6 linked regions of the Nothobranchius furzeri genome follow. The protein of the gene in region 1 interacts with the protein of each later gene in a pairwise test. Links are inferred from orthologs where the notes say so. Each region holds a gene or a part of one and is shown on either strand. Other genes may lie near its edges. The genes, in order: psma1, mid2, trim23, paraneoplastic antigen Ma1-like, pomp and trim54.

The links.
Region 2: the proteins of psma1 (region 1) and mid2 interact in binary tests that used the Homo sapiens proteins (3 or more experiments, as listed by UniProt). The two-hybrid records come from large-scale screens. The link is inferred for Nothobranchius furzeri from reciprocal best matches to the Homo sapiens genes PSMA1 and MID2.
Region 3: the proteins of psma1 (region 1) and trim23 interact in binary tests that used the Homo sapiens proteins (3 or more experiments, as listed by UniProt). The link is inferred for Nothobranchius furzeri from reciprocal best matches to the Homo sapiens genes PSMA1 and TRIM23.
Region 4: the proteins of psma1 (region 1) and paraneoplastic antigen Ma1-like interact in binary tests that used the Homo sapiens proteins (3 or more experiments, as listed by UniProt). The two-hybrid records come from large-scale screens. The link is inferred for Nothobranchius furzeri from reciprocal best matches to the Homo sapiens genes PSMA1 and PNMA1.
Region 5: the proteins of psma1 (region 1) and pomp interact in a two-hybrid assay, tested with the Homo sapiens proteins (2 studies listed by BioGRID, with this or other methods). The link is inferred for Nothobranchius furzeri from reciprocal best matches to the Homo sapiens genes PSMA1 and POMP.
Region 6: the proteins of psma1 (region 1) and trim54 interact in binary tests that used the Homo sapiens proteins (3 or more experiments, as listed by UniProt). The link is inferred for Nothobranchius furzeri from reciprocal best matches to the Homo sapiens genes PSMA1 and TRIM54.

The regions. Positions count from the first base shown.
Region 1 is NC_091744.1:46,382,639-46,388,022, reverse strand, and holds the start of psma1 (proteasome subunit alpha type-1), read right to left. Parts: upstream 3,688-5,384; 5' UTR 3,576-3,687; coding exon 3,573-3,575; intron 2,738-3,572; coding exon 2,693-2,737; intron 2,617-2,692; coding exon 2,515-2,616; intron 1-2,514. UniProt on the Homo sapiens protein: Component of the 20S core proteasome complex involved in the proteolytic degradation of most intracellular proteins. This complex plays numerous essential roles within the cell by associating with different regulatory particles.
Region 2 is NC_091741.1:89,375,777-89,381,246, forward strand, and holds the start of mid2 (probable E3 ubiquitin-protein ligase MID2), read right to left. Parts: upstream 3,288-5,470; 5' UTR 3,151-3,287; intron 1-3,150. UniProt on the Homo sapiens protein: E3 ubiquitin ligase that plays a role in microtubule stabilization. Mediates the 'Lys-48'-linked polyubiquitination of LRRK2 to drive its localization to microtubules and its proteasomal degradation in neurons.
Region 3 is NC_091746.1:63,286,923-63,292,218, reverse strand, and holds the start of trim23 (E3 ubiquitin-protein ligase TRIM23), read left to right. Parts: upstream 1-1,850; 5' UTR 1,851-1,865; coding exon 1,866-1,997; intron 1,998-2,670; coding exon 2,671-2,833; intron 2,834-5,296. Other genes in the region: mzt2b (mitotic-spindle organizing protein 2), read right to left, coding at 812-969, 1,048-1,223.
Region 4 is NC_091745.1:26,673,579-26,677,516, reverse strand, and holds paraneoplastic antigen Ma1-like, read left to right. Parts: upstream 1-1,714; coding exon 1,715-2,632; downstream 2,633-3,938.
Region 5 is NC_091747.1:41,727,064-41,731,793, forward strand, and holds pomp (proteasome maturation protein), read right to left. Parts: upstream 3,049-4,730; 5' UTR 2,936-3,048; coding exon 2,933-2,935; intron 2,644-2,932; coding exon 2,546-2,643; intron 2,429-2,545; coding exon 2,368-2,428; intron 2,130-2,367; coding exon 2,028-2,129; intron 1,952-2,027; coding exon 1,858-1,951; intron 1,642-1,857; coding exon 1,574-1,641; 3' UTR 1,323-1,573; downstream 1-1,322. UniProt on the Homo sapiens protein: Molecular chaperone essential for the assembly of standard proteasomes and immunoproteasomes. Degraded after completion of proteasome maturation. Mediates the association of 20S preproteasome with the endoplasmic reticulum.
Region 6 is NC_091742.1:14,270,440-14,275,144, reverse strand, and holds part of trim54 (tripartite motif-containing protein 54), read right to left. Parts: intron 3,138-4,705; coding exon 3,042-3,137; intron 2,928-3,041; coding exon 2,694-2,927; intron 2,010-2,693; coding exon 1,987-2,009; intron 1,320-1,986; coding exon 1,187-1,319; 3' UTR 1-1,186. UniProt on the Homo sapiens protein: May bind and stabilize microtubules during myotubes formation.

The sequences.
Region 1 (5,384 bases):
TGGCAGATCCAAACACATTCCAGTCTGTTGTGTCCAAACACACGCGAAGCTCCTCCACAGCCTCGCAGGTCCACTTGTTAGTAGTTCTCACTGCAGGCTTGGAGAGCTTCAGCCTCTGCCTATATGAGGGGATGAGGTGAATCATGGCATGGTCTGAGAAGCCGAGGGCAGCTCGCTGCACGGCCCGATAAGCTCCACTAACTGTGGTGTAGCAGTGGTCCAGCGTGTTCTGCTCTCTTGTCGGGCATTTAACAAACTGTTTGTACTTAGGCAATTCCTGGCTCAGATTTCCCTTGTTAAAGTCGCTGAGGATAATAACTAGAGAGTCCGGAAAGGTCTGTTCCACACTTAGGATCTGCTCCGCGAGCGCACGTTGCGCTTCGTGCACGTCCGCGCACGGCGGGATGTAAACAGCGGCCAGAATGAATGAAGCGAACTCACGTGGGGAGTAGAATGGCTTACAGTTTTATATTATTAAACTCACTTTAACGAATGGCAACAGACTCCCGGATCCCTGTGGCATTACGGAATGGGTGGAAGATGTAGGTGCGTGGCCAGATATCCAGTGGCCCGATATATGTATACGTTTTTAGTGGAGAGGCCCAGTAAGTACACACGTGAGAAGCTATGGGCATACAAATCGTTAGCAGCATACAACTATGTTGTCTGTGGCCACGTACAGAAAGTAAAATATCACGACATAGACTCTGAGTTTTGCGTCTTGAAGGCAGAAGTCCTTCCTAGCCAAAGACAAGGACACAAGACTGCTATGTACGAGGCTTGGGTCATAGTAAACAAACCAGAGAACTACGTCTTCACAGCCAACTGTACCTGCATGGCAGGGTGAGTATAGCATAGGTTTCTTTTTTTAGCGTGCTCAGAGTACATTCGTGTTAATTTTAGAGAAATAGAGAAAGCGTATAAATTTGTTTAATTCTGTCATTTTGATGTTCCAGACTTGGGTCATGCTGCAGCCACGCAGCAGCAATTTTATTCAGAGTTGAGCTTTGTGTTAGGATGGGAAAAACAGAAAAAGGCTGCAGTTACCCTTTTGATGGCCTGCAGCCACAGACGCCTCCGATTTTGTTGAAATGGATGTGCTCCCTTCGGAATTCTGTAAAGTTTCAGTCCACTGCTTGAAGAGAAGCGATTCTGGCATCCATACACGCAACAACCCGACATGTTTATGTGCTCAGAACTTCAAAACAAAGGGTTTAAAACGCTGTTTTAGTATCGAGTGTGAATGAGAAAGCCTTCACTCTCGTTGCCAGGCTGCGCGCGCAACTTTTGATGACGTAGGTAGTAAAAGGGTCTATATTGTGGATGAAAAAAGGAATGGTCTGACAGCAGAAAGAGCAGAAATGCTTATATTCCTCAGAAAGAACCTGTCATTGTTTAAGTGAGATTAGATGAACAACATTTAAGTACCTCACGCATTTACATTTTTTTTCAAGAATAGTTCCAGACTCTGACAAGATTGTTAACTTTATCTAGGTCACCTGCAATGCAAAATCTCCAATGCTTGAATTGTACTTTTCAGATGCACACTGTTGCTGTTTGTTTACATTGCACTTTTCTTTAATTCAAAATGTTTAACATTTGAAAACTTTTGTTTTTTTTACTGCTACATGAGCAAAGACTTACTGAATTTGTCTCAGATGCACTTTTTTTTGATAGTGTGATTTTATACTTGAAAATTACATTTTTGATACTACAAAAGACAGTGAACTTAATTTGTGGGGATTGGATAAAGCCCTCTATTTTATTTGGAGTAGTTTTATGGAAGTTTACCCTTTTCAATTCATATTTGACAATTTAAAAATGTGTTACTGCCTAGTGTGATTATTTGGACCTGGGCTGTTTAGTTCAATTGAAAGGGTTTGTTTCTTTGATTGTGCATAATGCACTTGCGTCCAGTAACCCTGCCTTGAAATTGAATAAATTTCAATTTGAAACATTAGTTGCTTTTTTATTTTTATTTTAGGATAGACAATTAGTTGTTTTATGACCTCGCTTATCTCAACTTATCTTTTGGGACATGGTGCTGGGCTCTTACTTGTAGGGCTTTCTCTCAATTACATATCATTCTTGTAGAAAAGAGTTTATTATAGCCTTATAAAATCAACCATAATAATAATCATAATGACATTAAAACAAATATTCCTCTAGTATCGAAATAATATCGGTATCGGTAGATATTCAAATTCAGTTATCGGAATCGGAAGTGAAAAAATGTGGATCGATGCATCCCTAGTTTCAGGCTGAGTAGTGCTCCTACAAAACTAGCTATAGAGTCATGCTGCATCACGTAAAGTTTGGTATTCTTGACAACCATAAACTTTACCTTCATCCTATGATAATTCTAGTTTTCCTTGTGGATGGGAATCAGCAAAAGGCCAGCATTTTCAACAACACAGAAACTTGTAAATGTCAATAAGAGACCACGTTCAGGTCCCTTACTGACATCAAGTGAGAGGAATCTAGACTGGTGACAGTTTCAGCAGTGAGATGTACCTTTAGTGCAACCAGGACTGCATGTGTTTTGGATTTCAGTCCTACAGTTGCAGATCCTTGCTTCACCGCCTCCATGGCATATTCGATCTGATGGATCCGCCCCTGTGAGTGCACAAAAACGAGCATAAGCAACTTGTGTGACATCTACACTTGGTGACTCATGCTGAGGAAAACTTACCTGTGGGCTCCATACTGTCACATCATTGTCGTACTGGTTGCGGAACTACAGATAAAGAAAAACAAATCCAAAATTAGATTTAGAAGTCTTACATTACAGAATAATCATCAATGGTTGAACTTACATAATCGTCTTGCATTTTATTAACTGTTTTCTCACGTATTTCTTTGACGCGATAAGTTAACAATGTCCGTGCCTGTAGGTCTACAGCCAGGTCTTCTCTACCCAGAGGTTTTAAATTACTTTAATGAATAAATAACTGATAATCTCGCGATTTTGCTAAGCTCCCTCCGAACCACAAGCAGCCTTCAGACTGGCTGAGGTCATATTCCTGCTCGATTTCTGTGTACCAATTGTTTAGTAAAATGCTGACATTAGAAATACTTGTGGATCAATTCGTAGCTATCTTAGCTTTACCACACGGACAGACAAAATAAGTCACTATCAAAATGAACGGTGAGCTGAGAAACCGAAAGCACAGCCTACCCCGAGCATTGCTAAGGCTAACTTAGAAGCTAATGTTAGCTAACAATTAGTGTTAGCCTGCTGCCGGCTTTGGACTCATCTAAATAAGTAATGTTGTCATATCGATTACAATTTCGGGGGTCATTACGTATTATTCAATGTAACACAGTAAAGCAAACACACTGGTTTATGCGAGTAGGCAGTCATAATCAGTGTAGCGCCAACAGTTTCCAAGGCTGTTTTGCTTACTCACAATACAGACAAAACTAAGCTAGTTATGTTAGCTCACACCGACTAAATTGATCCTCTAAATGATAAATGAACAGGCATAACGGTAAACTAACTATTTTATTTTTGTGTAAATAATGTATAATTTTAAACTGGCAAGACTAAATGAAATTTCATTCAAACCTACCATTTCTGATTAGGAGTGTGCGATGCGGTCCACACTTCTCGATTCTCGATTTCTTTTCCTGGGCGTTACGTCAGGGAAAAGCAGCAGAGCCCTGATTTCAAATCTCTGATCGACTGAGTGAACAAACGTTATTTATTTATTTATTTATTTATTTATTTATTTATTTATTTATGAAAATAAAATTTAAAAGACACACTTCTCCTTAGGGCTTTATTTGACTTTCAATTTTTTTAACACTTGCACATATTATTATTATTATTATTATTATTATTATTATTATTATTGATGATGATGATGATGATGATGATGATGATGATGATGATGTTGTTTAACCACCAAATAATTGCAGCCACTGCTGCAACTCCCCACTCCCCACAGGAATTGGTCAAATGTGGAGAAGCAATTTCACCAATGTGTGATGACTAATGGGACTTTAAGAATTACAAACATTTTAATTAAGAATCAATCTATTTTAGTATAGAAATTTGTTACATGCAAGTGACTGCCACATTTGACTGAAAAGTCTATGAGACCAAGATAGAGATAAGAAAGTTTATGAAAATTAATTAGAGAAAGAAAAGGAGATGTAGGTATTCGAGTCCCACTAGTTGTCACACTGGTGTGGGAAAGGTGTTCTCTGCATTTGATCCATCTCCTTGGGGAGCAGTGAGCTGCAGACATGGCTGCACTCGGGACTCATTTGGTGGTTTAACCCTTTTTTTAAGGTCTTTGGTATGGCCCAAACATATTTGAACCAGGGATTTGAACTCACCATTCCCCAGGCTCAGGGTAGACCCTCATACCACTAGGCCCCTGAGTCAATTGCAACTTGTGGTTACACAAACAGCACAACCAATGTATTAATCATATATTTATTTACCAAAAATAACCTAAACTAAAATGTAAAAATAATGTGGAAAAAATGACCTCATGCAGGCTTTTTTTAAACTTTTTTTTATTTCGTTTATTTATTTGTAATAATTTTTTTTAAATTTACATTTATTTTTGTTTTATCATCTTTATTTGTTGTTTGTACATTGACTCTGTTGTCTTTCTTTTTTTATTGATTGTAAAGAAAGAGGACCTGCTCGAAAATGAGATGGCTCATCTCAAGCGGTTTACATCCTCATAAAATTTAAGTCAAAATAAATAAATATATGTAGTTTTTCTGAACATTTTGCGAAGGTTTTTTCTCCTCATCACTACAGAAACCTCTCATCTTTACACATGCAGTGATGGTGCTTGAACACTAGGTGGAAGCAGTAAATGAGGAAATCCAACAGATTTTACCAAATTGGTGACACTCAAAAACATGCGTCACTGACTGCTGTTACAGCAGAAACCAGTGGGAAGGAGAACTAGCTGAACCAAGACAAAATGAGAGATATTGTACCCACATTTGTCCATTTTTGGTCTCTCACTGTGTTCACACCTATTTAATCTACACTCAGGCTTTACTTATCCCAACAATATTCAGATTTTTACATAAACAAGGATGAGAAATAGAGCTAAAGCACAACAGGGTCTAGGGGGCGCTATAGCTACCCCTGGATTAGTCATAGCACCCCCAAGTAAATATTATATATTTTTTTACAATTTAATTTAAATTTCACGTGTGGATGTGATAATATTTAACATACAAAACAAAAATAATCAGTAAATTACCATATGGTTAGTAAAAACTTAAACCAAAACAGGAAACTGATGTAAACCTTTGACCTCATTTTCCACCTGTGAACGAGTGAAAGGTAGAGCTAGCGGTAAAATGGATCGGTTTTTGTTGCCCACATTTCCACGGGTTCAGTCAGAAAT
Region 2 (5,470 bases), on another chromosome or scaffold:
CATGGATCGTTCCGCTGCCGTCCATCCTCCGTGACAGCTGGGGTGGGGTTGAGGGGCTGCGCACAGAATTTTCCACTACCGTTTGTTATAAGTGAGAGAGAGGAGTGCACATGGATCATTCCGTTACTGTCCATCATCCATAACTGCGAAGAAGGGTGAGGTGTGGACTAGGGCTGGGACGACTCATCCCAAAATACGTCCACGTAAAAAATGTGCATCGATGCGTCATCACGTTCAAAACAAACACGGCAGCAGCGAGTAGCGACAACATGAGTGAGGCGGTCGGCGAAAATCACTCACAGTTCAAAAGTATGGGTCTACTTCAACAGAAAAGGAAGCGATTCAGTCATTTACCAGCTTTGTAAAATGGAAATGGCCTATGACGAAACCACGACGGCCATTCACCAGCACATCAAACAACGGCATCCAGGAGCAGTGCCTTCAAACAAAAATACATCGTAAGTTCTCAAATTTTAACGCTGTTATTTACCATCCAAACACCCCCACGTAGACATGCACTCACTCACACACACGAGCAGACCCACGCACTCACAGTCTCATTCACTCACTCACACACACTGAGAAAAACATTCAACCTCAACTCATTGAAGCTGCTATAGCGGTAACAAATAGCAGCAGCTGTTACCTGTTTTGTTGGTTTTTATTTGTGGCTCATGCTGGCAAAATAATTCTGAATGCGCACATGCTGATTATGAGAGTTGCCGAGAGCCGAAAATGTGAGAGAGCGCAAATTGGCCAAAGTAAAAATGTTAAAGATAATGTCACGGCCGTCGTAGACACTATTCCAACATTGTTGAAGTTCTTGCTAAAGCAAAATGACAATGAACTCTTGATTGTAAAGTGTAATACCTCATCCTGTTTGAACTTATTTTCTATACTTCATGCTCCTCCAGATTGTTGATCATATAGATATAAGGTGCGTCATCTACTACTACAACAACTTTATTTTAGAATTTTTTTTAATAAAATGTGTTCAAATGAAGAAATGTGTGTTTATTTCATTGAGATACATACATTAGTAATACTCAAATTGCTATAGAAGTCAAATAATGGGGAAATAATCGATAATCTAATCGAATTGAAATCTAATTAAGTTGACAGATTAGTTAGAAGCATCGAAAAAAGTATCGCTAGATTAATTGATTACAAAAATAATCCTTTTGTCCAGCCCTAGTGTGGACACTTGGCCTTGCAAAGGACCAAGCTAGGCCTTGCAGCTCAGAAACAGACCCTAGCACCTTCTTAGGGTTCTACAACCCCCCAAGGTACTTCACAACACAATCAGTCATTCACCCATTCACACGCTGATGACGATGAGCTAAAATATAGCCATAGCCACCCTGGCGCTCACTGAGGGAGGCGAGGCTGCCAAACACAAGCACCACCGGTCCCTCTGACCACCACCAGCAGGCAAGGCAGGTTAAATGTCTTGCCCAAGGACACAACAGCAGCAATCTCTGGTCAGAGCCGGGATTTAATCTGCAGCCTTCTTATTACTGGACAACCCGCTCCACCACATGAGCTACTGCTGTTGTGTATTTTATGTGTGTATTTTATGTGTGTATTTTACATATTCATAACCTATAAGTAGTAAAGCATCTTTCTTTAAGCGTTATCATCTCAAGTTAACAATCAAAAACTCAAATAATCAAAACAAATAAAAACATGTACTTTTTTAAAATCTTACATTGTTTAATATTTACATGTTTCTTTGGTAAAAGGCTGATCCTCCTTTGCTTTGTCCGAGAACAGAGTTCCAGCTTCAGAAACAAACACAGAGATAAACAGATACCTGGCTGAACTATTCTAGGAAGTCAATGCTTCAACTGCAATGATTTCCAACCCTCTGTCACAACTATAATCATCCCAGCGTGTAGACACCAACACCCATTCCTCCCCACAGAAGGGAAAAAACCCTCACTGCTCATGTCATCATTATAAAGTCTTAATAATTATCATCTGAGGGTGCAGTGGGAGAGCGCAGGAGTGAAAGAAAGCCTGAAAACGAGAGAAAGAGGCAGTAAATGGATAGAGTGAGAAAGTAGGCAGCACCCTGTGGGTGCCTGACGGATGAGGGTGTCAGCTGTATTCACCCAACTAGCAGCCTTGTCTCAGAGAGTGTCAAGCCCCATGCACAAAGACCTGTCTCATTAAAGGCTGTGATCATCCAGCAACAAGAGAGCAAGAACGATCGGGCCCATAAATGACTTTTTAGAAGCTGGCGAAACACCAGTTCATTAAGCACAACGCTCTACTCCATGGCTGATCGACATTGACCACCCATATGGAATGTGTCCTCTTCACATTAGGAAAAGTTTATTTAATAGAGAATTCATCATCTAAACATAAGAAATAGAGAGAAGCAACACTCGACATTGGACCCCGCTTCCCTGCATTTGTATTGTTTAAAATTGGTGCATTATTAATGAGGGGGGGGGAATGTTAGACTCAGCTTTTTGGAGGCCAAACTCAAACCAGCTTTTGTCTCCTGTCACCAGCAGCATTACTTCAACAGTTAAAACACTGGAGCCAACACAAAAAGGTAAAAATCCTATTTCAGTGATCAACTACTTCATCATCCAATAACATCTATAGTTTTGTTATTTACATAAAAATACAACATAAATTTGACAGTTTTGACAGTAAAAGTCAATAAGTATCATCCACAATGCGCTAACAGCAGGGTTCAGCTCAGGTCATGTCATCTCAATCAATACACAATGTCACTATTGATCAGTGCAGGGCACTTGGGGGAAAACGATGAATAGAGGTTGCTAAATACATCCTAATATCACTGTAGACTATCTAACACATGCGCAAAGAGATAATTACTACTAGATGTAAAATTTACCACTAATGAGAAATTTGCTTGAGTACATTTGCTGATTAATCTGAGACGTTTTTCTGCATCAGTTGTGTGCACTCACACACACACACACACACACACACACACACACACACACACACACACACACACACACACACACACACACACACAAACACACACACACACACACACACACACACACAAACACACACACACACACACACAAACTGCTTACCCGTCCAGCTCCGGTTCTCTCAAGCCCAAACACCCCGAGCCCCCATAGGAAGAGACAGAAAGCCTACCTCGGTCCCCGGTGACAGCTCTCCCTCTGTGTTTCTGGAGGTCGACTTGTGGCAGGCGCTGACAGGATGGTAGTTTTCGTGAGCAGAGAAGTTTCAACGAGGCAGTGCCACAGTGATCACACGCGTTGTGTCAGCGTATCAGCAGACACCGCGTGACAACGCCCCAAAACAACAACAAAACAACTGATGTGGATCTTCTGGACCCGCTTCTGAAGGATGTTGCTTTTCCAACTCAGCTGTGCGCAGCTGCGCGCTTCCTCCTCCTCTCCCTCCTGACGCGGTTCCCCCAAACCAAACGAGGGCACGTGACCAACCCACAGGGGACTGGAATAGATTTCCTCACCCCTCCTCCCCCTCCAACAGTAGCAGCTGGGATCAGTTTCACCGCTGCTCCAGTGGCCGCGCAACAAACCCGAGCCGTGCGCACCCACACTCTTCTTCCACACATCATCCCGCCTCAGCGTCTGTCGCTGTCAGGATTATAGCTTCAAATTTAAAATGATCAGTTGAACAAATAAAGTGAATAAGAAAAAAAACATTTTTTGGCTTGTAAAGTTGGATGAAACGAACTGATCACGATTCCGATTTAAGCGTCCTAGAAGAAACTTTATCTTTATAATAAAACTGTTAGTTTTACTGGGTCAAGTGGCTCCATAGAAACAGCATCGATGTTTGAACCTATTCAGTAACAGATGAGTGAGGTTGAGACCCAAACAAGTGATACACTAATATCATCACCATCCATAGCCCCTGCGTCACAGCTTCACCTGGAAAAGGAGAGAGCGGAACGGGAAGACTGTCAGGAATTCTGACAGTTTTTGAAACCATTTTTTCAGTTAAAATTAAACGTTGCCTATCGAATTGATAAAGAGGACAAAATATAAGAATCTCAGAAGAATAACAACTAGCTGATTAGTACACTGCCCAGCAAAAGGCAAGGCAGCTTTATTTAGAGCACATTTCAAACACAGAGGCAATTCAATGTGTTTTACAATTATCAGGACATGGTATGAAAACACATAAAAACACAAAGTAAAATACACACAGATAGAATTACAGTTTAAATGATAAATGACCCACACTTGTACAGCACCTCTCAGAGTAAGGACTCCAAAGCGCTTTACACTACAATGTATCATTCATCCATTCACACACACATTCATACACTGATGGTGATGAGTTACGATGTAACCACAGCTGCCCTGGGGCGCACTGACAGAGGCGAGGCTGCCAAAAACAGGTGCCACCGGTCCCTCCGACCACCACCAGCAGGTAAGGTGGGCTAAGTGTCTTGCCCAAGGACACAACAGCAGAATTCTCTGTCCAGAGCCGGGATCAAACATGATACCTTTCGATTACTGGACAACCCGCTCAACCTGTTGAGCTACTGCTGCCCTTTGGAGCTAAAGGAAAAAAAGTTGCCACCAAAAGAAAATGTTGCACAACCTAATACTTTGTTGCACAACCTTTAGCTTTGACTACAGCACCCATTCACTGTGAGGTTGTTTCAATAAGCTTCTGCAAATTCACAAGATATGTTTGCATCCAGTGTAGCTTTAATTTTCACCAACATCTTGCATCGAAGGATCTTTCATGGCGGTTAAAATGAAGAGTCGGAGTACCCGGCCCGGAGGGTTACCGGGGTCCCACCCTGGAGCCAGGCCTGGGGTTGGGGCCCGTGAGCGAGCGCCTGGTGGCCGGGCTTTCGCCCATGGGGCCCGGCCGGGCCCAGCCCGAACCGGATACATGGGCTCGTCCAACTGTGGACCCACCACCTGCAGGAGGAACATGAAGGGTCCGGTGCAATGCGAATCGGGTGGCAGACCAAGGCGGGAGCCTTGGCGGTCCAATCCCCGGACAAGAAAACTAGTTTTTGGGACATGGAACGTCACCTCGCTGGCGGGGAAGGAGCCGGAGCTTGTGGCAGAGGTTGAGCGGTACCGGCTAGATATAGTCGGACTCACCTCGACACATTGCATTGGCTCTGGAACCCGAGACCTGGAGAGGGGTTGGACACTCTACTTTGCTGGAGTTGCTCCGGGTGAGAGGCGGAGGGCTGGGGTTGGCTTTTTGTTAGCTCTGAGACTCTCTGCCTGTGTGTTGGGGTTTACCCCGGGGGACAAGAGGGTAGCTTCCTTGCGCCTTCGGGTCGGGGAACGGGTCCTGACTGTTGTTTGTGCTTATGGGCCAAATATCAGTTCAGAGTACCCACCCTTTTTGGAGTCCCTGGGACGAGTGCTAGATAGTGCTCCATCAGGGGACTCCATTGTCCTGCTGGGGGACTTCAATGCTCACGTGGGCAATGACAGCTTGACCTGGA
Region 3 (5,296 bases), on another chromosome or scaffold:
GAAAACCGTGGTAATTTTGGTCACAATAACCGTGAGGTTAAATTTTCACACCGTGACAACCCTAATTAGCATGAGGAAGAACAAAAACACATTAAAATAGTTTTGAATGGAAATGTTAAACCACAACAAATTGAATTAGTTTTTTTAATTAACCATGACTTGTTTTCTTCTGTTATTTTAATGTAATCATAAATGGGATTAGAAACCCTAACTGGCTTTTGCTAAATTACACACTTCTAAGTACCATTGACTAACATAGCAGGCATTAGTGATGGTCGGGTGACTCATATGATGAAAATAATAATAATAATTTATACTTTTTTATCTTTCTGTTGGACATTCTCTGCATTTGACCCGTACCTGAGGCTTAGTGGGCTGAGATCGAACGGCTCACCTTTTGATCTACCCCCATTCCGTCATGGCCGCCCATATCTGCTTCTTGTTGCTGACTAGTTATTTATTGCGTATCTTCTGTTTTGACAAGTGAACCGATCAGCAGTGACAAAAATAAATATTTTATTACTGTAACTATTTTATCAAGTTGAAATGGGTACACTAGAAACTACTGATCACAAAACCATTTCACCCAATATAAATTGATGGTGGCTCAGGGGTTAGTTCACCCGGTAACTGGTGGGTCATCATCAGTGTGAATGGGTGAATTATTGACTGCAGTGTAACGCACTTTTGGAGTCCCTGACTTAGAAAAGCACAGTACAAGTGCGATTTTTAACTGCATCAGCAAGAGAATCCCTCCATGCTGGAGTAACACTTGAAGTTCAAAACTAAAGCCCAGTTTTTACACACTGACCTTTGACCTCGGTGGGTGCTGGGGTGGTGTTTGTTGTGTGGGAGACAACTGAAGCCTCTATGCAGCTGTCGGCTACTTTCTGTCCTGCACACATTGCCTTCAGGGTCTGGAAGACCGCTTGGGGAGCCACGTTCATTTTCAGGAGGTCCACTATGATCCTACAGGAGGGCAGAAACGAATCCTTTACTCATTCGCCGCGTGAAGAACCACATTTCTACCGGTCTCGGTTCACTCACTTAAAGACTTCTTGATCCACAGTGATGCCTGCAGCCTGAGTCAGTTCAAACAGCTCACTTTCTTCAGCACTCAGGATTTTCTTCTTCTTTATGGCATATTTCTGCACGTTTGCTGTGACCACCAGAGCAGGGAAGTCAGGAGCAGATGGCCCCGTCTGCTGTGTTGGCTGAGACATATCAAGTCCACCTGAGTGGTGAGAAAATGGCATTTATGCGCGAACATAAAACGTTAGCCGCGCAGAATAAACATATGGCGAAATTCAACCGCTCACTGAAAGGTAAGTAAACATAAAAACAGGTTATAAACAACAAAAAATACGTTTTTAATCAAACATGTGTTTATACCGTTAAAGCCGCAGCTTTTAGCGTGTAGAATCCCGCTTATATCCACAACTCCTCTCTGTAAACACGGCGCGTAGAAAATGCGTCATCATCACGGAACGTTCACGCAGCATGATGGGACATGTAGTTAGAAGCCTGTGGTTTGTTCTCGATAAATGTATTGAACGAGTAAATAAACATTAAAGTTGAGCCAGTTAAGCAAAGCATTAGATTTATATAACAAATAAAAAAAGCTGAAGCTGCTTGGTGGTCGTTTCAACCACGGACTTATATGGTTTAAAGGGTAAAAAGTAAAGACAATTAAAAGAATGAAATTACAGAGTCCTCTGACTCTGAAAGGCGCTATACAAATGCGGGTCATTTATCGGTTGTTTATCACTATGCGATTTATTTAGTGAACGTGGGTTACAAAATTACTACAAAAAGTATACCAAAATTGACACCGCGGAAGTTGTTGAGGGATTATCCTCTCACGCATGCTCAGTTCTCTCGCTCGCCGTCGTCGAAGAATGGCCGCCGCTGCAGCAGGAATAAACAAGCAGGGCGCAGGAGCGACGATGGAGACCTGTCTCCGGCACGGGAGGGGAGCCAGTGGAAGCACCGTGAAGGTCGTAAACATGTCACAAATTTCCGCAGCTAGGTCGTTATTGCTGTGAACATATTATTTGGTTAGCTTTGGTGATAAATGTCCGCTGGTTCAGACTTGCTTGATGTATTTCTAGTTGGAAGCTAAGGCTGCTGCGTTGGCGTTGGTCGCAGTGGGTGCCAAATACGGATTTTGACAGTGTAATAGCTGTGCAAACGCGTTTCATCATGTTATTGTAGCCGTTTATGCATTCCAGAAGACTCGTTTGTCATTAAGAAGCGTTTGCTGCGAGCTAGCACCAGCTCGAAAACCGCCGGTTGGCATTAGCACAAGTTTCTGATCGCTGCAGCCTTATAAACAAAAACAAGCAATCAGCTAGTCAGTGCATTATAAGGGTGTACAGTAGCAGCTGTTGGAAGAATTAATTTTAGTTTACAGAATAAAATGTGGGCAAAGCGTCTCGTGATGTTTACCTTGGGAGTCACTATGTCAAAGTGACTGCAACACCCTGGGATTTTTTTATCTCATCACTATTTTTCAAGTACCTCTGCTTTTCTGCATCAAGTCAAACCTAAAGTTACAAATTAAAATTCCTTACAAGTGTGCGTGATCCTGAGTGTGGAAGTCACCTTGCAGCAGATACAGACAGACAGACACATAGACAGGCAGTGTTCAAGCTGTGCTGTCACTTGCAGGTGCTGGAGTGTGGTGTGTGTGAGGACGTCTTCTCCCTCCAAGGTGACAAGGTCCCCCGTCTTCTGCTCTGTGGCCACACCGTGTGCCACGACTGTCTCACCCGGTTGCCCCTCCACGGCAGAGCGGTCCGCTGCCCCTTTGACCGACAGGTCACCGAGCTGGGTGAGTGAAGGACATAACATAATTTGGCCTTCGAAGAAGGATGCAGATTTGCAACATTTGGTAGAATTTTATTGAACTGAACAAATTCTGAGGATGCCTGGGAAAATGACAAAAATATTTCTTCAATCACTAAAAACAAACAACTATTCATCTCAGAAGTAACATAACATCCAAGTGGTATTCCTGACTGAAATTATCTTGGAGTGGCAAAGCACAGAGAATACACAGTCATCATAAGATGCAGGGTGTACTTTACTGGTTCTTGGACGGCAGATGCAAATATGCTGTTAGGCTGCAGAGAAAAGAGCTCACAATCGAAAACAGTCTAATGTAGGGAAATAAAACATGAACACATTTCAGATCCAGACCTTCCTTCGTAGTAGGTTTGATTTGACTTTGTCCTAAAACTTTGTGTAGTCTTGCAGTATTTGTTTACATCAACATCTCCGTTATTTAAAGTCATGCATTGGTGCTGACACTGGAAAGTGAAACTCAATTCAGTTTATTTATAAAGCGTCAAATAACGACAAGTCGTCTTGGTGCACTTCACAAAGTAAAACATAGGGATGTCCCATTCCGATATCGGAGGTCATTCCATATCAGCCCAAAAACACTGTATCGGATTATATCGGATGGCATCAAAAGTCTCCTATAAAAGCGGTTCGTTAAGGTTCACATTTTTGCAACTGTAGCTGCCAGATGAGCAGCTGATGGCAATGACTCTTAATTGGCTCACAGATTTTATATAAGCCACACCCTTCCAGAGAAAATGGCTTGGGTTAAGTTGTTTGTAGAGAAGATAACACTTTTGAAGTGTTGAAATTATGTCTTTGGTCTAAATTCACCTCAGCTGCACAGTGCCGACTGCATCCCCACGTAAGTTTTGCTGTATTGACGCTTTTGTTTGGGTTATTACTTCGACACTCTATAGTCATTGTTTGTTATTCTTGTCCATCCCCACTCAAATCTACAGATAAAGCAGCTTTAAGGACTTATTGGTTTGTTTAGCATCCTTGGCCAGTGGAGCAAGGTAAATGTGAGAATATAATTCATTTCTGTTATGACATCGAAGTTGTGTTCACCTTTTATTTATGCTTTGTATATCTCTAAACAGTTTTCACAGTGCAACTCATGGAGTGAAGTCCAAGGCATTGGACCAGAGAAACGAATAAAAGTTTATGCACCCGTCGAGGCTCTCCGTTCTTTTCTTCATGGTGCCAGGGGCAGCTACAGCAACCAATGGTTACAAAAGAAATTTTTCATACTTATTGTTATTGGCTGTTGTTCTCCAGTTGAGTAATATCAGTTGATCAAGCCTTTCATACATTCCACATTAGGAAACGGGTAAAAGTATGATTTGTGCTGATATCGTATCAGATTGATATCTGTAACGGTCAACACTGAAGGCTGCAACATCGATATCGTATCGGAAGTGAAAAAGTCGTATTGGGACATCGCTAAAAATATCCAATTGACGTGCATGAGTTTTAGACCAATAATGAAATTCAGCAAGACAATAATTTTGTCCATTTAGCGTCTCTCCATGTGTGTGGAAATCATGACTGTACGGTGCTGGAAAATCTTGAAAACTCTGAAGGTGGTTGAATTGAATCTGGACAAAGGTGTAAATGTTCTCTGTTGCACTTGTAGATTTTTCCTTCAGTACCTTCTAAGCAGAGCTCCACTCGATTCAGCCCAGTTTCACTAGTAACGGGTACCAGGTCGCTGCTCCTTTATTTGTCTGCTTCAAAGTGGTTCCAAGTGTACCAAACTGGGACGAAAAACGCAACGTCAGAGGACTGCCAGTCACTGATTGGCTGGGGGAGGAAGCATTGGATGCTCTGGAGTGTTTCACCTTCCTGCTCACAGAGTGAAGGACAAAGGGAGTTTAACCCTTTTCCCAACATTGCTACTCAGCCAAAAGCGGCTCGGAACAGCCAGGGTTAGCACAGCTCCCCTCACTGTAGTTGGTTTTCTCCGCCAACTCTGTGATGAAAAGTGGGTGCACTCCTCATACCAGGTCAGTAGGTATGGGGAGAAAAAAGTCTCAAAAGATTTGTGTGTGTGTGTGTGTGTGTGTGTGTGTGTGTGTGTGTGTGTGTGTGTGTGTGTGTGTGTGTGTGTGTGTGTGTGTGTGTGTGTGTGTGTGTGTGTGTGTGTGTGTGTGTGTGTGTGTGTGTGTGTGTGTGTGTGTGTGTGTGTGTGGACCAGTATATCAGGCCGATATCTACCATTTTTTTATACATCAGCATCAGACAATATTTGTCCTTAGTAAAGCTAATTTAACGTCAGGCACATCCTTGGGCAGCCCAGTGTCGTGGCAGAATTTAATTTAATTTAAATGTATTTTTACATTGACTAATAGCATCTGGATAATAATGCTCTAAATCACATGTGTCCGACACAAGGCCGGCGGGCGAGAGATTCAAGTGTCTTAAAATAGGTCTATGCCGCTTCAAAGCG
Region 4 (3,938 bases), on another chromosome or scaffold:
GAGAATGAGGATTATGCTGGTATGGAGTCCAACTTTCAGTAACCTGTTTAAATTTTGAACTATGTTTCTACTGAGAAGTCTACCTGGGTTGTAGGGCTCCAAAAGGGGCAGAGCTTCCTCATCAGTTTCACCTAAATCCTCTTGTTGTTTTCTGGGAGAAAGTATTGCCAGATTTTCGTAAATTTCTTCTTTTGTGTTCTGCCATTGGAATGAAATGAGCTGCAGTCTTTTGTAATAAACTGCAGAAGGATATGTGATCCAATAAAAAGCACAATGAAAACAGACACATGTGCGGTGAGTACAATTAGATGTGTTTTTGTAATTGAAATGTCTTTTTTACACTACAGTTACAAGGTCACAACACACAGATTAATCAAAAGATAAGGCAGAGAAGGAAACAAAGGGGTGTGCAAGTGTATGTGTGCAGATGTACATGTGTAGCCTGGTCTCAAATATCTATTCTAGACCCTACAGGTTAAAAGGATATAAATATTGTGTAAAGCCTTTATTGTAAATATTTCATATATTTGAAAAAACAAGGAGTTCAAATGGTTAAAAATGTGTTTAAAATCACAATAAATAGAAGTCAATCATAATTTGAGTGTTCATGGAGTTATAAGTAACAATGAAACTAAAGGTTTATCTAATGTGAAACAAGGAAAACTTTGTATTGTTTCAAGTTGTTTTACAAGTTCATTTTGGGTTGTCAATCTTGTATTTTCTTTTATCCCATTGGTTGATGTAAACCTACTGTCCAATCAGACGTAAGGGAGGCGGGAGCTAAGTGAGGCAAAAGAAAGAAAAAACAGCGAAGCTAGTGAGAGTCGGCAGCAGCACGTTGCGGGAGGAGGTTGTGTACCAGAGCTAATGGAAGAATAGTGAAATAATAGCCGTGGATGCAGAGTCTACGTTCCTGTTATGGACTGTTTTACCCTGTGATGAGTGAGTACTGAATGTGGAGTTAGCATTGAGCTTAAACGGAATGTATAAGTACTTAAAATGTATGGTGCTAATCGCGAGTTAGCATGTTAGCATTTTAGAGCCTGTAATAGCTATGTATGTCGAGTACGTAAGATACAGCTTATTCTGTGGAACTAAATAGTAATCTCTAATGCACAGTGGACCGAGAGGAATTCTCTGGACTCTTCTGCTGTGGATAGGAGTTCTGTGTGGTTGTTCCAGTGTACTCAGCAGCCCGGGTATGCCGCTAATTCCGACCACCTTGCCGAGTGGAGGCCGCATGGTCACCAACCAAGACTGCCCCTCCGTTTGCCTTGCACTTAGCCCAAAGGATTCATGAGTAGACCTGAGCACGTGTGTTTTGTTTTCTGCTGGTTATCAAGTGAAGCGGCCATTTGTTTGTTTTCTGGCCCAACGAGCCCAAGCAACGATCAGGCCTGCAACGGTTTCAGTGAATGAGCTCACAAAGGTTAAAACTGGTTAGTCATTGTTTCTCCTGTTTACCAATAAGATTAGTTAATGTACCCAGGGCCCCGCTCATAGTACTATCACCATCTTAACCGAGGGTTAATCCAGAGCTACTTGAGTTGGGTGCTACACATTTGGAGGCACCGCTGGGATTGTTGTTGTTTTATCTACATTTTAAGTTACCACTAAATCTGCTGTAACCTTAAAGTAACTAAGAGTAACACTGGTCCTAAAAAGCAACTTCAATTAATCTTTTTTTTCCCCCTACAAAGTAACTTGTTAAACTATGGCCACTAAAAGTGATGTCTCACAACCGAATCTTGCAAATTGGTGCAGAGGTGAAGGGCTCGATCAGGCACATGCCATTCTAGTTGTCGGAGTGCCTGAAGAGGAGGACCTATCCACAGTAGAAGAAACACTCGAACAAGTAAAAACCTTGGGCAAGGTAAGAGTAAGAGGAAAAATGTTTGATGCCAATAATCAAACCCTGACCATGTTATGTGAATGCTGTGAAGCAGTCGATCCTACCAAAGTTCCGCCAGAGTTGATTTCCTTTAAGGATGGAAGTAAATGGACAATAGTTGTTGCAGAGCAAGAAACGAACTCCGACCTATTCACAGAGAAGTTGGACAGATTTCTGCGTGATGAAGGGAAAACAATGGAGGATGTTCAAAGACTATGTGATCCTAGAACTCCATGGAACAGCAGCCCTGAGTCAATCATTCGGGTGGTAGGTGATGTGTTGCAGTCCAAGCCAAATGAAAGCAATTTATACCGTCGTTTTAGAATCTTCTCAGGAGTCTACCCTACTCCACCTGGTGAAGACAACTTGGATAGCTGGCTAGAACAAGTAAAGTTCATGACTGATGAGTATGAGTGCTCAGATAAGGAGAAACGCCGAAGAATTATTGAGAGTCTCAAAGGGCCAGCGCTGGAGATCATTCAAGCAGTGCGCATGTCTAATCCCCTGGCAAACCATGTGGACTGCATACAGGCATTGGAAAGTACCTTTGGTACCGCAGAATCCGGTGAGGAACTGTATCTCACATTCAGAGCTATGCATCAAAGACAAGGGGAGTGCTTGTCTAACTTCTTGCTGAGACTGGAAAGATTACTGAACAAAGTCGTGCAAAAAGGAGGCCTACAAGTAGATGAAGCCAACCGAGCAAGGCTTGAGCAACTCATTAAAGGTGCTACTGAATAAGACTTCATGCTGCTTCATCTAGGTCTTAGAGGTAAGCGAAGTGATCCCCCGACATTTTTAAGTCTACTGAAAGAAATTCGAGAAGAAGAGGAGCGTGAAGCTGCAAGACAAAAACTGAAAAAACCAGCACAGAGACAGCACGTGCATGCAGTGCAAGTAGCAAGTGAAACAGACTCCAGAGATTGTCAGCAACATGAGTTTCAGTCCGAAATTCAAGTGCTAAAAGAAAAGCTGAAAGAGCTCAGTAAGCAGTCTCATTCTACAGAGTCAAGCCACAAAAAGATGTCCAGAGAAAAGAAAAAAGAGAAATCAGACACAAGCAGCGAAGTGCAACAGTTAAGAAAAGAAGTCAAAGAGCTGAAAACACAGTTAAGTGTCATGTCGGTAACGCCACAACATTATGCAAAAGAGAGAGGGCACTATTCTAAGTTCAAAGCGGACTTCAGTCCAAAGTCATCTACCTTTAAGCCAAAGAGTAGTAAAGAGTCAGATAATTTCTGCTACAGATGTGGAGAAAATGGCCATTTTGCAAACAAATGTACAGCTCCGGAAAATGCTCAAAAGGTAATCAAAAAGCTTATTCATCAAGTGCATGGAAGCCCAAATGGACAAAGTCAAAGTACCGACGCTCAAGATCAGTGTGTTGCTCGAGTTAATACTACCAACGTTCCAACTCAAAGTGCCAACATACCGGAAGGTCTTATTGGTCCATCATCCATAGCTCCTAATAAGGTCAATAACATCTCATGCCATGGTCTTATGGATTCAGGATCATCAGTGACCATTATCTTTGAGGATTGGTATAGAGCCAATATACCAACAGTCCCTATACAGCCCATTTCCAATCTAGCCATCTGGGGCCTATCAGCTGAGTCCTACCCTTACCATGGGTATGTAGTAGTAGAGATAGAGTTCCCTGAGAATGTAGCAGGTGTCAAGGGTCCTCTTAATGTCCTCGCTCTTGTTTGTCCAGAGCCCCCGCAAGGTCGTGAAACTCCTGTAGTGGTTGGTACCAACGCTTTTCTGTTCAGCCGCCTATTTCAGTTGTGCAGAGATAGCGGTAACGAGAACAAGGTCAGCTCCATGAGGATACAGGCAGTTTATGATAAAATCCAAACTCAGTCCTTAAGGTCCAGTGGAGGCGACGATCCCATAGGGCAAGTGAAATGGCAAGGTCCAGGGCCACTTACCATTGCTCCAGGGAAAAATTGTTATGCCACCTGTAAAGTAGAGCAGAAAAGAACTAAACCCCAAGATGTTGTTTTGGTTGAGGCACCTGCCATACCCCAACTCCCATCCGCAGTGT
Region 5 (4,730 bases), on another chromosome or scaffold:
AGATTAAATCCTCATTTAGATAGGCCTAATGTTGCAATGATACATAATCTGAAAAGCAGTCATCAGCTTTAACTGAATGGACTCAACCTTTAAAATAATAATCTACATCTGTTGCAGACTCATTGTCTTATCTTTTTATTTTAATTTGTAGTTTTCCACTTGCTCATTTATAAAAACACTCATTCTTACTAGAACAATCCTCAGCTGCTGCTGAATGGTGCATAGATGATAAAATGTTTTGTTTTATTACATTTTCTGATCTAGTTTAATGAAAACTCAGTAAATTCTCTCTTATTTTTATCTATAATAATGTGAATTACTAAACATTGTATGATGAGAAATTAAAGTAACACCTTTTAAGAGTAGTTTTTCAGGCTAAATTGGGATTCCAAATTAATCAATTTTCACTGTTTTGTGAAAAATTTTAAAACATTTTAAAAATAACTAAAAGGAAAGGAAAATAAAAGACACGAGTGGTTAGGGCCCTGATTTTATTTAAAGGTGCAATAAGAATTCTACAATGAAATAAACACAAAACTAATGTCTCACTTTTGTTGGAAGGATTTCATTCTCAGCCAGTTGGGGGGTTGTCACTGCTTCTCCTCCCAAAACCAACAAAAGAGGTAGTAACTGTTTACACGTTGCATAAAAGACATGTAGTGATGTCAGCAAATGTAGCACGTCACGTGTGCGGCATCTGTCAGAAAGTTCGGCATAGGACCCTCAAGAGGGCAGCTCCCTCCTTCACCTATATGAACAGGAAACAGGCATAATCACATGATTTTGACCATCAAAATACTGGAATCATACAGAAAACAAGACTTGCAAGTCATCCTATTATGTAAATATTTACCTGCAGACCAAATTGTTTTTCAGACACCCACTCCAGGCTGATAACCTCGTGGCCACTTTGAATGTTGCACTGCAGGATACATAAGGTTCAGCAGAATCTTTCTTAGTTGTAATTTGATTTTTAACCCGAGCACAGAACAGTGCTGCAGAACCCACAGCGGCTCTACTTCTGAGTTGTTTCTGAACCATGAACGGTCTTTAAGTGCCTTCTAGTGGCCACACAACCAACCTACTGATGACCCTGCTTCATGTTGTGCTCTGAAACATTAATACATTTCTCTAAATACAAGAAGTTATGGTCATGTTGATCTAAATGTGTTACAAACCATGTTTACACAGAAAAATATATTTTTTTTTAAATTCCAGCGGGTTTTTTTTTACTATTTGACTGGCTGTATTAGATTCAGACAACGGAGTGTAAGGTCAAGCTAAGCAGATGAAGAACTACAGAAATGAAGTCACACCACAAGGAAGGTCATGAAATTTATTAGAAATAATCAAAATCCATCACACAAAAACAACCTTAAGTGGTGTACCACTCCTGCTTCTGTGTGTTTTACACCGACACACTGACTCACACCAGGCCCTGCTAGAAAAACAGATTTCTAATAACAATTTTCCAAAAGCTGAGGTTCTAACTTTGGTTTTGGAATGAAATATCAAATATATGCTGAAGAAGACAAAGTAAATATTTTGTGTAGGTTTTTATTTACAGGAGCTCTCACAACAATCCTAGTTTGTACTCCACCATCATGTGTGGCTCTCCCATCACTTCACTTTGGGCTGGATCTGCAAACACACAGCCATCATGATTAGTTAGGCTTCATGCTAATGTGTCTGCACACATGTTCACACACAGATCTGAGACTCAGACTTCAGCTGACGATATCATAAAGACTATTAGAATGCAGTAGTGTGATAAAAGAGTATATAACTAAATATTTATTTAAACCTGACCGTAAGGAGGTCAGAAAACAAAGTCTACAAAGAGGATGAGGCTCTCACCGCTGAGGATGTCCTCAAAGCCGATGGATTCATCGCTTCCTCGGAGCGTGTCGAGAGCCAAGTTGGAACTCGGTAAGAAAGGCAGACGCTGGATCTGGAAGGATAAAAAAACCAAAGCCTTAAAAACTGAAGCATGCATATGTGGGAGAGGTGATAGGAGGCGAAGCTACCTGTCGTGCTGCTCGGTACTCCATCTGCAGTTTGAGTGGAGCATGAAGACCTTGGATGTTCCTGAGTGTGGAGTAATTCATCTTATCCTGGTTAAGCTGGAACTACAAAGTATAAAACACAAAGATTAGTTAGCAGCCTGTAGAAACTCCATAATAGATAAAGTTAAAAAATTAACAAACGATTATTCACTGAGGAATCAGTCTATTGTAACATTACACAGATGACACACACATGCTGATATTTTAGCTGTGTTCAGTCTCATCCTGATTGACCTTTGGACAATGAAAAACCACGGTGATGTCCCTTCATATCAGAAAACAGCTGTAAAACACTACTTACATTTTTCTCTGACAGCTCCAGCGGGTGGCTGGGAAGAAGCTCATTCTTTACGCTCGTGAAGCTGTTAGACAAAAAATGAAAGATTTATTTCATTATCAAAATAACACCGACTTGATTGTCATTAAATAACTGTACACTAGTAGAATATTAGGTTTATATGAAAGCGGTAGTTTCTTACCCGCTGCGTAGAGAGTCCTGCATTCCGTAAGCACCCTGTGGACAAAGTCCAGCGACAGGGACACTGTCCTTCAGCTGGGAGTGGAGTCCTCGGCTATTCTGTAGCACACAAAATCGCATCATGACGTTTAAATCAGCTCATACTGAGCTAACACAAACAGCGACGCTAACATCAGCTAGACACCAGCACTAATAACCCAAAAGGCTAACTAGCATTAGCTCCGGTGACTAATCAAATTCAAAATGGGTGCGTTTCAAAGCGCATATTGAATATAATCTACAACATGGAGGGGTTAAGTACACTTATTTATAGTTAAATAGATGAAGTCAGCAGTTAGAAATCTGTAAAGGATAGTTTTAAATTTGGTGTTAAATAATGCTAGCTTACCATTGTGATTTTGTTCCTTGCGCTTTCTTTTTGACCCACCTAAATTTCCGTTTCCTGTAGTGTTTAGAACACGTGACATCCGGTGTAGAGCACAGGCCACAGACATCATACGAGTGAGGTGCAAAGGTGTTGTGCCGAAAAGAGCTTAGCTGCCGAAATTTGCATCCCCTATTGTAGGAAGCGCAAAAAATGTGACATGTTTATCTTTGCACTTCTTTAAAAAATGATGGTTTGTGGACAGATAAATGAAAGAAATTAGTGTTTCAATCAATCAATCAATCAAAGCTTTATTTATAAAGCGCCTTCTGCAACCCTGTCAGGAAGCCCAAAGCGCTGAACATTGTACAGTTGTATGTAAATATATTGGATAAATCAACAATAAAAGAAATTCAAATTACAAAATACAAATTACAAAATACAAAATGGAAATTACAAGACAGATGAAACATTCTGGTAAAGGACAAATGTGTGAAACACACATGTAGTGTTTGTAAATCTTTTTAAGTAATAAATCTTTAAAAGGTTAGCAATTTTGAGACACTTTGCTGCTTTGTTTTTAACCCACAACAATATACTTAAAGAGCAAGTCACCCCCTAGTATAGGGCTTGTGGTCACACGTGATTATGCATAGCATGCTGGGATGTGCCATGTTGGAAGGCTGACAAGTGTAAACACACCATGAAACAAACGGCACTGGTGCAGAGAAAAAGCTAATTTGGGTGAAAGAAAGTGTTAAAAACATCATTCCTCCCCCCCCCCCCAAAAAAGGATGCGGAATACACAGAGATAGGTTAAAAAAGACGTTGGGGACTGGTATGTGGTCAAAATGAGCATTATAAATGGTTTTGATCCACATGAAAGACCCAAGACTGGAGCACCAATGACATATTGTTGCCGCTGCAGTTCTGCATAACGGACATTTTCGGCTTACTTGTTTGCGGTGTGAGCAGATGTAGACGTCCGAATGAGAGGTAAACGTTTTATTTGCTGGTGTTTCTAGTAAAACAATCAAATTTATAATCTAACAGAAGAAGTATAAAAAGAGAAGTTGTGTTGTGTGTGAGAGCACCTGCATTAGCTCACCGGTATGTGAGTGTAGCCTCTGTGTGTGTGTTTCATGTGCATGTCGCGGTTGAAAGAAAGAAACGATGTATAAAATCATACACTATTTGTAACTTTCCAGAATGAAAATACTCCAGAAGGTGATGTTTGGTCGCCTTGTTGCTGCGATCCAAGCAAGCCAACGAGACTTTATGTTAGATATTTGGTCTCCGTGGTTTTGCCTCTAAGCAGGAAAACGGTGAAAAGTTAGCTTGTTTTCCACCTTTGTTACTGGCGATCAAGTGTGTCACCCCACAACAAAGCAATGATTTACTAGAGTTGTGTAATATAACCGATCAACTGAATAATAGAGTAATTTAAGGTGCAAGAACGAGATTGAGGGTGTTGTTTACAGTAGTAACAAGCAACAAATAAAGACTCACACGCCTCCAACAGGACAGGTGCACAACAGTGACAGTTTGAGGCAGATAATTGAAAATTTAACTAAAATGCCCTAAAGTTTTAAATTATTGACTACACGTGTCTGCAGTACGATTAGACACGCATTTATATAGTTTATCAGAAAAAAAAGTTGATTTGGGGGTGACACTTCAAGCAAGCACAAAAAAAATCATTTCAAAATACATTAGTCTCAAACGTATGGTGTGATAATTAATATAAATAAATAAATAAAAATATAAAATTCCAACAAGTAGACTAGAAATGTCAATAGTGATCTCACGTGCGTCGGTTGTT
Region 6 (4,705 bases), on another chromosome or scaffold:
CAGGATGCCTCCTGGACGCCTCCCTGGGGAGGTGTTTTGGGCATGTCCTGCCGGCAGGAGGCCCCCAGGTCGATCCAGGACACGTTGGAGAGGTTACATCTCCAATCTGGTCCGAGAACTCCTTGGGGTCCTGCCGGAGGAGCTGGTGGAGGTGGCCGGGGAGAGGACGGTCTGGAGCTCCCTAGTTGGGATGCTGCCCCTGTGACCTGGACCCGGATAAGCGGAGGAAGACGACGACGACGACGACGACAGTTAAAGAGGCACGCAGAGCTGGTTTTAGTCTGCTAACGGTAGTTAAAGGGGCCATGTCACTTTGTGGAGCTTTTTAACCACGTGATGTTGTTGTTTAGTCATGAAAAAACAAACACATTTTAACTGCATTCATGCATTTCCCTGTTTCAGCTGCAAACATTGACTTTTACTTTGAAAATCTCGTGAAGCGTCAATGGAAACTAGGCCCTGCTCCTCTACTGGAAGCTAGTCTCTGGTCTGAAACCTGTCTCCTCTGGTCAGTGGAGGATGTGTGTCGTAGGTGACTCGTGTCATGTAGTAGACTTGGTAGTCCAGAGATTAGAGTGCTAGTATCCTGGTCTGAGCAGTAACTCGCCAGCATGATGTTTTCAACCCTTTATTGGTAAACTGTTTACAAAGTAAGGACTAATTTGTGTTTTTATTTTGTTTATTTAGCTGGTGTGAGTCCGTGAGAGGTGAGCAGAGTAAATCAGCTCAAATGCTGCTAGGAAACAACCAGCTTCAAAGATCTTTACACAAAATAATTAACTGAAAAAAATCAACAAAACTAAAATATTAAAACATGAAATCTGCTTCAGCTGGCTACATAAGTTACTGCCGCCGCCACCGGGATTCAAACCCACATCAGCACGCGGCGAAACTAGAATAAGAAGCTCACACTTGAACCCCTGGACTACCACAAAAGACATCACAGATGCTGTTGAAGGCACATCTTGGAAGCGCAGGTATGGGAGGAGCTTCACGGACACAAAGCTTTTTCCCGGGTATGCATTCAGGCTGACAGAAATAACTCATGTGAAAGATAAAAGGACATCTCAATAATAATATTTTATCATCTGCTGAGCTGACCTTTGCTCTATAGCGTGATGTGGGACCTTTAAGATGTGCTGAGGGAGTCTGCTGGATGAACCTCAGCTGCAATCCCAGCTCTGCTTTACATGCAGGAGCAGAAGTCCATGTTTCTCAGTGAGTCTGCGATGTCGTCCGTGTTGATGATGAAGTGGTCCATGCTCTCGTAACTGAGCTCCAGGCGCTCAAGGTTCCAGGTTCTCATCACCACTGACATCCTGTCAAAACACAGATTTCAAAATAAAACTCAAGCCCTGCAGCTGTTTAATATAAAAATGGGCTTAAACTTTAAACATTTTGTTTATTTTATTAGCCACTCTTGTTACTATAGCGATGTTTAAGGCTTTTGCACGATGAAAACTCAAATTAAACAATGAAAACCTCCACACTCGACTCATTACAGGTTATTTTTCTCTAAGATGAAACCGGTGTGGAACCCATAAATTCACTGATTAATAATAAATCTGTCAAAAGCCAATATTGACTCGATCCATCAGCCAGTGAACACACACAGATCCCCGGTCGTTCACACGAGGCGGCCGCCGATGGCAGAGCAGATTTGCTTGTTTTTTTTATGTCAACAGTTGGATCTGTTCAATAATTAATCAGAGGTGACACGTGTGAGAGCTGATGACTGGGCAGGTTTACTCAGTGCCAAAGCTGCAGCAACTAAAACCACAATCACCTTCAAGCTTTTCAGCTGAAGGTCAGATGAAATGGTGCGGTTCTAAATCACAGGAAATCTGCTTTAATAAACCAGTTTTTAAAAATCTGCGTGCAGACATGCTTTGGTGTTTATGATGCTAATTGATGGCCTCCATCGAAAAAAATGTGTACAGGAAGTTAAATACCTCCGAATGAGAGCCTCGCACCACACACACTCACCGTTCCAGCAGGACATCGGAGATCTGTGGATGGAGGAGAAGATTCCTTCAGTTATCTGTGTGAGCCACACCTGTAAGCTCTCCCCAACCCTCAACGGTTCGTGTGCGCTGAGTTCCCCAGAAGTTCCCAGCTTCATGAGGGTTAGGGTTTGACATTTACACACGTGTGAGCACACACCTCATACTTTACAGGTCTCGTTCACTAATGTCTGTTCTTGTAGAAACCTGATCTGTCGTGGTGAGTTGCACGTGCACCCTGAACGTTTTCCTCTACCCTAGTCACCTGCATCAGCAGCGGGGCAACAGTCGGGTCAGAGAAAGCCAATCTCTTCTATGTCACAGGGAAAATTCATATTCGTGATCCCGCCCACCTTGGTTTAGAACCACCCACAGGAAGGAGACAGCAGAGCGTCTCGGCGAGTAGAAGCTAACCGTTAGCATTAGCTAATCCAAGCATGACGGAACACGTTCAGCTTTGTGTTGGTGGAGACGTAACGTGAACGCTGCATTTTTACCAAAGAGCGAACAGAGGAAGAGTCACGTTGCTGTTAGCCAATCAGAGGCGAGACGTTTGAATATCATGAATATTAATAAGCTAAACTCATAACTTCTTTTCCTCCTTCTCTTTCAGTCTGAAATAAAACAAATAAGAGCATGACTTGTTTCCTCTCTGCACCTGATTCATGATGCAACAGGTGTGTTCCTCACCTGGATGAACGAAGCCATGTGAGGCTCGTCCATGGATCGAACGGCCGTCTCCACCAGTGCTACGGCGGTCTCCAGGTGGTCGCTGTGCCAGCTGATGAGGGATCGCACATGATTCAGTTTGTCATCCTGATGTTTGCTGATGAATCCAATCAGCTCGTGCTTTCTCTCCTCCAACGTTGCCATCAGGTCGTCGATTTGGTCAGCCAGGTTCTCCCTCTGTCTGTGAGCATTCTCCTGAAGGGAAAACGCAGACGAAGGACCTGAAAATGTACTTGACCACATGCAGAACATGTGGGTAGGATCAGTTAGGTAACAGGAAGGGGGGGGGGGGGTGTTTGTGGGTGTCACCTCGATGCTGCGGCAGATTTCCTCCATCTGAGAGATGGCCGCCTGGACTTGGTCGTTACTGGCAACCAAGACAGCAATCCCGTCACTCAGCTCCACCTGCACAGAGTCAACAAAGTAAAGTTCTCCCATGAGAACTGAAACTCTACCAAACCTGGTTGTTTTCTCTGTTTTTAATATTAACTTTATCTGTTTTAATAAAAAATGCTGGTTTGACAACCTCAACATTTAATCTCTGTGGTTCTGGGTTGGTCAGCTCCTCCAGGTCCGAGGTTCTGGATCTCCACCCGAAGAAGTTGGGTTTCTTCCTCTGGGTTTGGAACAGGTCATTGCCTCTATGAAGGAGCTAAAGTATCTTGCTCCTGAGCGATGGAGGAGAGCAGACCTCTGATTTGGTCTGTTGTGTCTGTCATCATGACCAAAACAAGATCCTGGATGGAAGACACCAGGATGAGTTTCCTTAGCTGCTCCTCCTCATCGGAGAGTCAGCTGAGGTGTTTGGGGCATCTGTCATGGATGGTTCTTGCTCGTCTTCCTCTGGAGGGTTTCTGGGCCCCTGGGAGGACAGCCTGAGGCAGACCTGGACCTTACCAGCAGGATTATAAATCCTCTCTCCTGGAAACATCTTGGAATTCTTCAGAAAGACCAGAAAGGGAAGTCTGGGTCAACCCAGCCTTGGACAACTTGTGGAAAACAGATAGAAATCACAACTTCTTTTCCAGTTTTGGTCATTTGAATAATTAAAACATTTTCATATAATTTTTTTTATAAATTATTGATTTCCTGTTTGGTAGATTTTTGTTGTTTTTTATTTTTTTATTTACTTTTACACACACACACACACACACACAAAACTAAATTCCACAAAATGTTTTACTTCCCCATTTCAAATTTGGACAAATCTGCAAAATAAATAATTAAATTAAATTAATCATTCATTTATATGCCTCCACTACTTAGTTAAAATAAAATAAAATATAATAAATCATTCATTTATATTAGCCTCCACGACTTAGTCTTGTTTCTAATTAGAAGCAAATAAATTCCATCTTTCAGTTCTTTTTAAAACACAGAAAAGGTTTATTTACCTGCAACGTTTCGTTTGCGGCTGCAAACATCATCAGGTAAACGTTTTGTGTGTTTTAAAAAGAACTGAAAGATGGAATTTGAAACTCAACGCAGCAAGAACACACCAGAGAAGCAAGTCAAGTTTAAAATGTGATTTCAATAATCATTTCTTGTATTTATATATAAAATCTGTGTTTACAGCCACAGCGGCCGACCTACATGAAGTAAATGGAGTTTATCTAACATTAAAATCATGAATGAGCTGAAAAACAACAGAAATCGTTTTACAGAACATGAAATGAAGCCTCACAGTCGACCACTCATCATCATCATCATCATCATCATCATCATCGTCGTCGTCCCTGATCCACATCCGATTCAAAAGCTCTTTATTATTTATCAGAAGACCAGATCCAACACAGACGACGGCCCTCTGACTGAGTCACCAGCGTTTCATCAGCCTCCAGTGTCTTCAGCTGGTTTCATCTACAGCTGACGCGCTGCTGGTGGAAGAAACTTTCACACTTCGGATCGGGCCAAATGAAATCACCAAACTGTGGTTGCTAGCTCTGCTCACGGCTGCAGAATCAACAAGCGTC